2 linked regions of the Bombyx mori genome follow. Each later gene encodes a partner of the first gene's protein in a complex. Links are inferred from orthologs where the notes say so. Each region holds a gene or a part of one and is shown on either strand. Other genes may lie near its edges.

Region 1 (4,564 bases):
CTCATTATAAACAAAAAAAAAATCCAAAAAATTAAAATAAAAAGTAAATGTTTGGGGTGGACAACCCTTTTCACTTAGGGGTATGAAAAATAGATAGTAGCCGATTCTCAGATCTACTGAACATACTATTGATACACAAATAAAACCAAAAAAACACGGCTGAAAAATGTATAGTATTGTGTATATAGCTCTTAAATATATTAAGTGTATAAATCTATGATGTATAGTGAGTAAGTAAGACAGGAGACCGGCTTCGTCCTCATCCCTACTACGTGATGTTTGCTGGATGAGTGGTGACACCTGGCGGGGATAGCTGATCGATTGATAGTTGATCAGTAGTCGACCGGCGAGGGCGGGAGATCAAATTGAATTTAAAAAAAATCATAATTGAAGAACTTGAAATTATAAACTCTGAATAAGAATTTATCGTACTACAATTATAATATTTGATTGCCATCTTGCAAACTTATTGCAGATCTGTGCATAGAATAAAAAAAAAATTAATCGGGATGGAAAAATAGGGGTTGATTGTATAAGAGTGAAAATTGACAGTAATATGATTTTTTTTTATTTTAAGTAATGACAAAACAAAATAAAAAACTTGACAAAAAAATTAAAGTTTATAATTAACAAATAAAAAAAGGGGTTGATCATAGAGGGATGAAAAATTGAGAGTAACATCAGATTTTTTATTTTAATTCATGACAAAATAAAAATAAAAATGAAAATCTTGCCAAAAAAATTAAAGTTAACAGATAAAAAATAGGGGTTGATCGTAGAGGGGTGAAAATTTCAGAGTAATATGAATTTTATTATTCTACGTCATGACAAAATAAAAACAAAATTCTCGCAAAAAAATTTAAAGTTTTTAATTAGCAAATAAAAAATTAGGGTTGATCGTAGAAGGGTGAAAATTGAGGATTGTATGTATTTTTGTATGTTGTATCATAAAAAAATAGAAATTAAAAATTTTGAATAAAAAATAAAAAAAATATTTAGGGGTGGACTACCCCTAACATTTAGGGGGATGAAAAATAGATGTTGGCTGATTCTCATAGATACCGGATAAGCACAAAAAATTTCATCAAAATCGGTCAAGCCGTTTCGGAGGAGTATGGCAACGAAAACTGTGACACGAGAATTTTATATATTAGATATTGAGAAAGATATGAATTTAATTTCAGAACTAAAATTATTTCTCAAAATGTACCAAATAAATAATCCGAAATTACTTACCAGCATGGCTTTCCGATCCAGGTTTGGAACCGAATCCACCATCAAAGTTCATGCAACTGAGCACAAACTCCACAGTCTTGTTGATGTCGATGGCATCCAATCGTTGTAAGAGTGATAGACACATTACCGCACAGAAAGAGAACCTAGTGTCTATTTCACCCCATTTGTCTCCTTTAAGCAACATAAAATAATTTGAATAATTTGGGTAGGTATTTAATCTAGCATTCTCTACTGTTTTCATGACTCATAGACATAATTAACCTTCTTTTTAGACTTTAATTTAACATTAAAGTTTAAATAGTATACTGGGATTATTTATATTCCGACTTTTCAAATATTTTACAGAAAAGTGTACTTATGTCTTTCTGTTTGAAAGTACATGTAAATATCAATATGCAATTATTATATAAGTTGAAATTTAGCACATTATTTAAATGTCCATGAATAACAGCTTAATAATGAAAATAACAAATGATTAGATTAAAATGTAAAAATATTTTTTAATTAGGAATATAATGTTTCGCAACACATTGCAAAGAATATTGTTGTTTTAATTTAATATACTATAACCAAATGCTCTTTGGATTTATTAAGTAAATTAATGTTTTCTTTAAAAAAAAGTAAATAGTAATGTTTGTATTTTATGACAAATATTCATTCATTTTAATGTAGTATGATATGAATAGTCAACAAATTTTAGATTATATTCTGATTTATTTATGAGAAGCAAGTGAAGATAATAATATTTACCATAAAAACTACCATCTTCTTGCTGTAAGGAAACTATGTATCTGACAATTCCTTCAATATCAACAGCATCTAATCTATCATACATCGCCAGTACCTGTTAACAAATAAAAGTAATGACAAACAAAATAAAAATATTACGTAACTTTATTCAAATTTTAAAATGATTTTCTGGTTGTTTCATGTTCTACCTGTACAGCACTTAATGTGTATAGTATGTGTGGATCATGTCCGATGCTAGCCGAGATACCTCCACTTTCACTATCTTGGCATTGTGTAATGAATTCTATTATATCTTCTTTAGGCATCCTGGAACAAAATTCCAGGTTTTACAACGCTTGTAGGACTCTCAAAGGCGACTTTCACTTTATTTTTATACAAGAATTAATTTTTAACCATGTTCATTGTTCAAATTTTACAAGGTTTATGTTGATTTAAGGTTGATATAATAATATGATTGATTGAGGTTAATAACGGGTAAAAATCATAATATAAATACTTTTGATACCTTGATGATTGTCCCATGAGTTCCATAGCAGTTAAACTCCAGTAAATACCGGACATTCTTAGATATTCGGTCATACAATACTCGTAGTCATCTTTATTTAAGCCGTAACTGGCTAAATAGTCGGAGTGCTTTTGTAAGAGTAAAGTTTTAGGTCGATCTTCTTTTAAGACAACATCTTTCGTTGTAAAAGACATTTTAAATTTTTATTCTATTGCAATGTACATTAAATTAAAAGCTACAATGTTTTGAAACGGGATGATAATATTTTGAGTTATCAGTCTATCTATCTATCTCTTAGGTTTATGGCGTTATGAGTTATCAGTCAGCATTTAAAGTTAGATGTCAAAAGTGACAGAGGGATTTTATGTCATTGTGACATTATGTTATTAAAGTTTTAACGTTTGGAAATTGTGGGAAAATAAAATATTTAGTCACTCAGAGTTCTACCTTATGGTAGAATCAACCGCTAAATCTTTTGGGGCCGGGCAACATATACAATAAATTGCAAGCCGGGTCTGTTATAATGGTCGAGTTGTAGTAATTTGACAAATTCAATTAATAGTACTGAAGAGCTTTTAGCTCGGGGCGATCGCCGGATAACGCTAGTGGCATAGTAGCACTTTAGCTAGCGATTTAACGCATCGGCTGGTTCGGGACGGGGAGTAGGGAAAGGGGGAACGGGGAAGGTTTTTTTTGCGGGTATTTTTTTATGATTGAAAGATTACTGGTGGCCCTAAGGCCTTTCCAGTTTCTCCAGAACAGGTGGGCGAGCAAAGGCTCAGCCAAGAGGGGTGGGATTTGCCTTTTGCGGGTATTACAGCTGAAGAACATAAGGAGAATTACGAAATAGGGAGAACTATACTCGCCTACACCACATAAACCACTTGATGATGCTAGACGAAAATGGTTACTGGATAATGGTTAATGAATATAACTATTGTCATACAAAGCCAAAGTTATGCCAGGCTATCGGGGCTTACTTCAAAAATATAAATTCAAACAACCAAAAATGTACGTAACCAGGAGCCACAACACAGGTCATTACCGATTACCTACTTTTTTTTTTATTGCTTAGATGGGTGGACGACCTCACAGCCCACCTGGCGTTAAGTGGTTACTGGAGCCCATAGACATCCATAACGTAAATGCGCCACCCACCTTTTTTTTTTTATTGCTTAGATGGGTGGACGAGCTCACAGCCCACCGGATGTTAAGTGGTTACTGGAGCCCATAGACATCTACAACATAAATGCGCCACCCACCTTGAGATATAAGTTCTAAGGGTCTCAGTATAGTTACAACGGCTGCCCCACCCTTCAAACCGAAACGCATTACTGCTTCACGGCAGAAATAGGCAGGGTGGTGGTATCTATCCGCGCGGACTCACAAGAGGTCCTATCACCAGTAATTACGCAAATTATAGTTTTGCGGGTTTCATTTTTATTACACGATGTTATTCCTTCACCGTGGAAATCAATCGTAAACATTTGTTGAGTACGTATTTCATTAGAAAAATTTGGTACCCGCCTGCGGGATTCGAACACCGGTGCATCGCTCAACACGAATGCACCGGACGTCTTATCCGTTAGGCCACGACGACTTCAGATACTACATAGATAAAAAACACCGAATCCTGATCACGCAGGAGCCAGTCACCGTCGACGCCCTAGACACGTCCCTACGGATCTATCAGATCCAATAACCTTTACATTAGACACCTTTAGCTCTAACACAGTAGGGACCTCGATAACCGTACTCGTCGAATTCGACAAAAAGTTCGATGTGCAACCTAACCTAAACATCAGCCCGTTGAGTTTCTCGCCGGATCTTCTCAGCGCGTCGCGATTCCGATCCGGTAGTAGATTAATTCGCGAAACAGTTGCTCTTGAGTTGTTAGGTCTCCTTTGGAGGCGCTCGGGTAGCTGTTAGCAAATCCCACCCCTTCTGGCTGAGCCCTTGCTCGCGAACCTGCCCTGGTAAAACTGGAAAGGCCTCCGGGCCACCAGTACTCTCTCAAACATAATATAAAAAAAAAACAATTATAATATTTGATTCCAATTTAAACAAACTTTA
Region 2 (4,465 bases), on another chromosome or scaffold:
GGCCTGAATGAAAATAGTCGATTTTTCATGTGGCGTTCAACATGTTAACGAAAAAGCAATATAAAAGATTCATGAGTATGAGCACAAAAATATCACGTCTTCATGTTGCCATTCAGGCAACTGACGCCAATACTAAATGATTTTCAATTGTTTATAGATGGTAAATATGATACTATAGTTACATTTGTTCCTGTTCTTTACTATTATTTTAATACCAAATGCTAGCTACAAACAGGCTCCCATGCCTTTGACAATATCTATATATTGCTATAAAGATGGCAATGGAAGCAAACATGATCATCACGATTTTATCCCATTGCATTATACAGAATTTGTTTCAGGCACTGTATGTAATGCATCCACCATGTGTAATCCTAAACGTGTGATTATGACCGACACCTCTGCAAGGGTTATGAATGAACTTTGGTTGTGACTGAATGAATAGTGTCACAGACTCACTAGATCAAACTTGTTTAGCAGTTGTGATGCAATTGAAGAATTGAATATTTTCAAAATATTAAACATTCTCAGTGCAATGTCTTTATATTTGCACATAATAAATAATATGCCTATAAACAAGCCTGCTGATAACGAATTTCTTAATTAAGAGCAGAACAGATCATTCTTGCCTGTTAAAATTAATGTCACGAATTCAACTCTTGAATGGCAATTTTCTCCTAATGGCTAGCTATTATCGGAATATTGTTACATCATCCCAACAGTTCAGATCAATTTTGCAAACTACTTCAACTTGTATAATATAATCGAATTTGATAAACTGCAGCATTTGATCAAATTTTTCTTTAATAACTGGCCTATACATTACCATTAATAATTTTTTCATACATAGATATATTTATTTTTTAACAACATCATTTTTGAGGAATGCAATAAGAAGACTTCATAATTCATAATTATAACATTTTTCTCTGAATTGTTAAACTTCTATTCCTATTTAACCATTTATCACTTAAATAAAGCTCACATTTAAATTTTAGTAAAAACCATGAAATAAGTCACTTTCACAATCTTTCTTTTCTAAGCTGTTATTGCAAATGTTTTGTGCATGGTTTTTTGTACATTATTGCAATGAAATCACACGATCCTTAACCCATTTATTAGACCTTAGACCAATACTGTAAGTCGACATTCATTGTGATGATGAAAATAATTCAAAATGTCTGCATCTGGACTTGTTTAACAATTGCAATTAAGACCAAAAATTTAATTAGTTAAGAATTCAAGTATACTACAGTAATCTGCAACAGAATAACAAGTTACAACATATGTACACTTGGTACCTTAGAGTTATTTTCATGATATACTATACTACTTTGGAATAATCAATTTTAATTAGTATGACATGATGACCCATTTGTAGTTTAAACATTAAACTCACTGCTCTTAAATTACTCAATAATATAAATAATAATGTTGTAATGTTAATAATTATGTTGCTCTCCAATTCTAACAAACCCAAAAGTCTTCAACTAATTTTTTTTTTTCTTGGCTCTTAGCCATAATTGTATGATTTAGAGTTACAATCATAATTTACAACACAAACGTAATCTCAAGAGGTAATAAAATAAATTATCCCTCTAAAATTTTTAAATTTTAGGAAACAAACTTCCAGACAAACATAAAAGGAAATTTCTTAAGGAAAAGATGATGATTCAATATTTGTTTGAACTTTTAATTCGATGGGTCAGGATAATTCTTCAAGCCTTTGCTAAAATTGGTTTTAGTATTTGTGGCTAGTTGCCACTCTCTTAGTGACAGGTTACAGATTAATCAGAGATACAATTATATTTTATAATCCCTAAAAGCTATATCAAACCTCATATAATTTTTTTAAATAGTACATAGCATTCAGCAACTATCAACAATACTACAATAGTTATGGCCATTTTTGTTAACAGTTAATCATAATAATATACTGTTCAAAAATTACAACAACTGTTAGTTTTTGCCGCAGTCTTATAAAATGCTTTACTGTGCATCGACAGGCTGTCTGACTTAGCAACCAAATCATCTAACTTCTCACCTCTCTCAAGTACAGCTTTTATTGTATCATGTAAAATAATTTTCGTTTCATCCAGATCATTTTGAATTTTCGTCAATGCATCAGCTTCTTTGGGATTTTGGTATTTTTCTAAATGTAAAGCCAATGATGGAAAATCAATTGTTGATTCTTTACCCGTAGCCCAAGTGCTTGATGGAACTGCAGCTGTAAACTCATCAAGAGTTTTAGTGATCAAAGTGTGTGCTACTCTGTTAGGATACTCGTGATCGGATATCAATACTCCAGCTAAATTATCTGCACGCACATACACTTGCAACATATACTCTCCTTCCTTAACTGATTGCCTTGATGCTGGATGTGTCCTCTCTACCATAGTTTTACTAACAAAAGTCATAAATTCTTGCACTGAACTTCTTTGAAAATAACTAAAACTCCGAAGATCATAAGCACCTTTCAGAATGGATGCATTATTAATCCCTTTGTACAATACAAGTAGTGCATAAACTTTCACCATTTTTGTTAGATAATTTTTATCGCTCGGTCTCTGAAAATTAAAACAGTTTTAATACAGAAAAACTACAAAAATAATGAAAAGTCTGAATTTTAAGAAATATATTAGAAGAATTCAAAATAAAAGAAAAAATATATTACCCAAGATTCAATAGCTCGTCGTTTAATTCGTCGTAAATGAGCCTTCTGAATGAATTTTACGTTTGTACAATCTTGGACGTGCTACAATATTAGATTACCCGAAATCAGACAAAAGTCTTAAAATTATTTTAATACATTTGTAAGATAATTTTTCTTCGTGAAATCGTAAAAAGTGATTTTTTACTATTTGGCCTTGGTTATTTGTCATAAATGTCTTAATGCCTACGTCATGAGAATATCTCTTTCACAGATTATTAAGAATTTTTTTAAGGGATTTTATGACCTGGTAACTAAGACCTAAGGGAGCTCATATAGAGTCCCTTCTTTATTTCGCCGTAGTCGTGTTTTATGTAATTAACACCACAGTTGAAACAATATAAATTTTATTGTTGTAGCGGCATAAACAATTCTAAGTAATTATATTACATTAGTTATTAAACACATTATAAATTATTTGTCGTTTTAAATATTTGGCGGTAAAAAGGTCCCGTGTCACAGACTATATTCTTTTTCCCACATCTCGTGCGTTCCGGCTTACGCATCATAAAAATGTGCGTTCATTAACGCCAGAGACCTTTAAGTCATGTTTTATTTTAATTTATTTTCTTATTTATATGAAAAATGATGAAATGAAATGAAGATTATTAATTCGAGACATTAATCAACTGGTATGAAATCAAATGAAATGAGATGAGATGATATGGGATGAAATATAATCTTAATAAAATGGTGGTCATCTACTGAGACTTTTTGGAGGATCCCGAGAAGTGACGTCCAGCAGCTTTGTTTCATTTTCCCACATTAGTGCACTTTCTTTTTTGTATTTTAACTACTTATTAATTCCTATCACATAGGTAAACGAAATATAGCTCCAACTTTTCTCCAAAAAACCGAAACCATGAATTACTACCAATACCAAGGTATGCACGCAACACTCTCAACACTGACAACACTGAAAGTGATTTGACAATTTATGAAATTTAAGGCCGCACAGGCAGAATAGCTAAGTTAATTAAGTAAATAATTCAGTTCAATTGATTGAAGTATCTCTATCTTGAAAAGACTATTTGCAGTGAAAGCTAATTAAGTAATACGACTGCAAAATGTCAAATATAAACTTACAATGTCTCTTAGGAATACAGTGCAACGACTTTGTTATGATAGCAGCCGATCAGAGCAACAGCCACAGCATTATGATCATGAAAGACGGTGAGTTTGCAAATTTGTAACAGAATCCTCTGTATTTTCAGATCAAATTAGTTTTATAAATAAAAACAGATCTAAAAACGGTTCAAGTAAACTTGTTAGGTTGCTTTTTGGCATTTTATTTGTACTAATGGAATCTAACTTCTAATACCAATTTTTCAAATAAACTATACTATATAATCAAAGTTTTTATTCTATTTTACAGATGAAGAAAAGATCTATAAGATATCTGATAGATTAGTAATGGGTGTCATTGGTGACTCAGGAGACACAAATCAATTTGCTGAATATATTGCAAAAAATATTCAGTTGTATAAAATGCGTAATGGGTATGAATTGGGGCCCTCAGCTGCAGCCAGTTTCACACGTCGTAATCTCGCAGAGTATCTTAGGAGCAGTGTAAGTTGTGTTTTTATTTCTATTATGATTGATTCATGACAGTTATTATTTTTCGGAGAGCTGAAGACTCAGTGGTATGAATTGAGATCTGTGTCGAGCAGTGGACGATTGTGCGTTGATGATGACGATGAACATTCTCCACAAAAAATCTTGATTCTTAATCAATTATTGTACCTATAGAATTAA

What was found.
Region 2: the proteins of geranylgeranyl transferase type-2 subunit beta (region 1) and synaptobrevin homolog YKT6 are in contact, whole or in part, in a crystal structure (PDB 6J7F), measured with the Homo sapiens proteins. The link is inferred for Bombyx mori from reciprocal best matches to the Homo sapiens genes RABGGTB and YKT6. Residues at the interface, in NP_004573.2 of Homo sapiens: Thr3, Pro4, Gln5, Lys6, Asp7, Ile9, Lys11, Tyr37, Leu45, Trp52, Leu236, Asp238, Cys240, Arg281, Gly283, Asp284, Met285, Asp287, Phe289, His290; in NP_006546.1 of Homo sapiens: Lys60, Gln62, Asp63, Leu65, Asn83, Glu84, Tyr85, Pro86, Ser87, Leu153, Asn155, Thr156, Glu158, Arg189, Lys190, Cys194, Cys195.

Annotation. Positions count from the first base shown.
Region 1 is NC_085123.1:2,128,226-2,132,789, reverse strand, and holds the start of geranylgeranyl transferase type-2 subunit beta, read right to left. Parts: upstream 2,849-4,564; 5' UTR 2,686-2,848; coding exon 2,492-2,685; intron 2,293-2,491; coding exon 2,175-2,292; intron 2,081-2,174; coding exon 1,987-2,080; intron 1,408-1,986; coding exon 1,237-1,407; intron 1-1,236. UniProt on the Homo sapiens protein: Catalyzes the transfer of a geranylgeranyl moiety from geranylgeranyl diphosphate to both cysteines of Rab proteins with the C-terminal sequence -XXCC, -XCXC and -CCXX, such as RAB1A, RAB3A, RAB5A and RAB7A.
Region 2 is NC_085124.1:7,755,628-7,760,092, reverse strand, and holds the start of synaptobrevin homolog YKT6, read right to left. Parts: upstream 2,910-4,465; 5' UTR 2,675-2,909; intron 2,568-2,674; 5' UTR 2,538-2,567; coding exon 1,941-2,537; 3' UTR 1-1,940. Other genes in the region: proteasome subunit beta type-2, read left to right, coding at 3,778-3,883, 4,086-4,279. UniProt on the Homo sapiens protein: Vesicular soluble NSF attachment protein receptor (v-SNARE) mediating vesicle docking and fusion to a specific acceptor cellular compartment. Functions in endoplasmic reticulum to Golgi transport; as part of a SNARE complex composed of GOSR1, GOSR2 and STX5.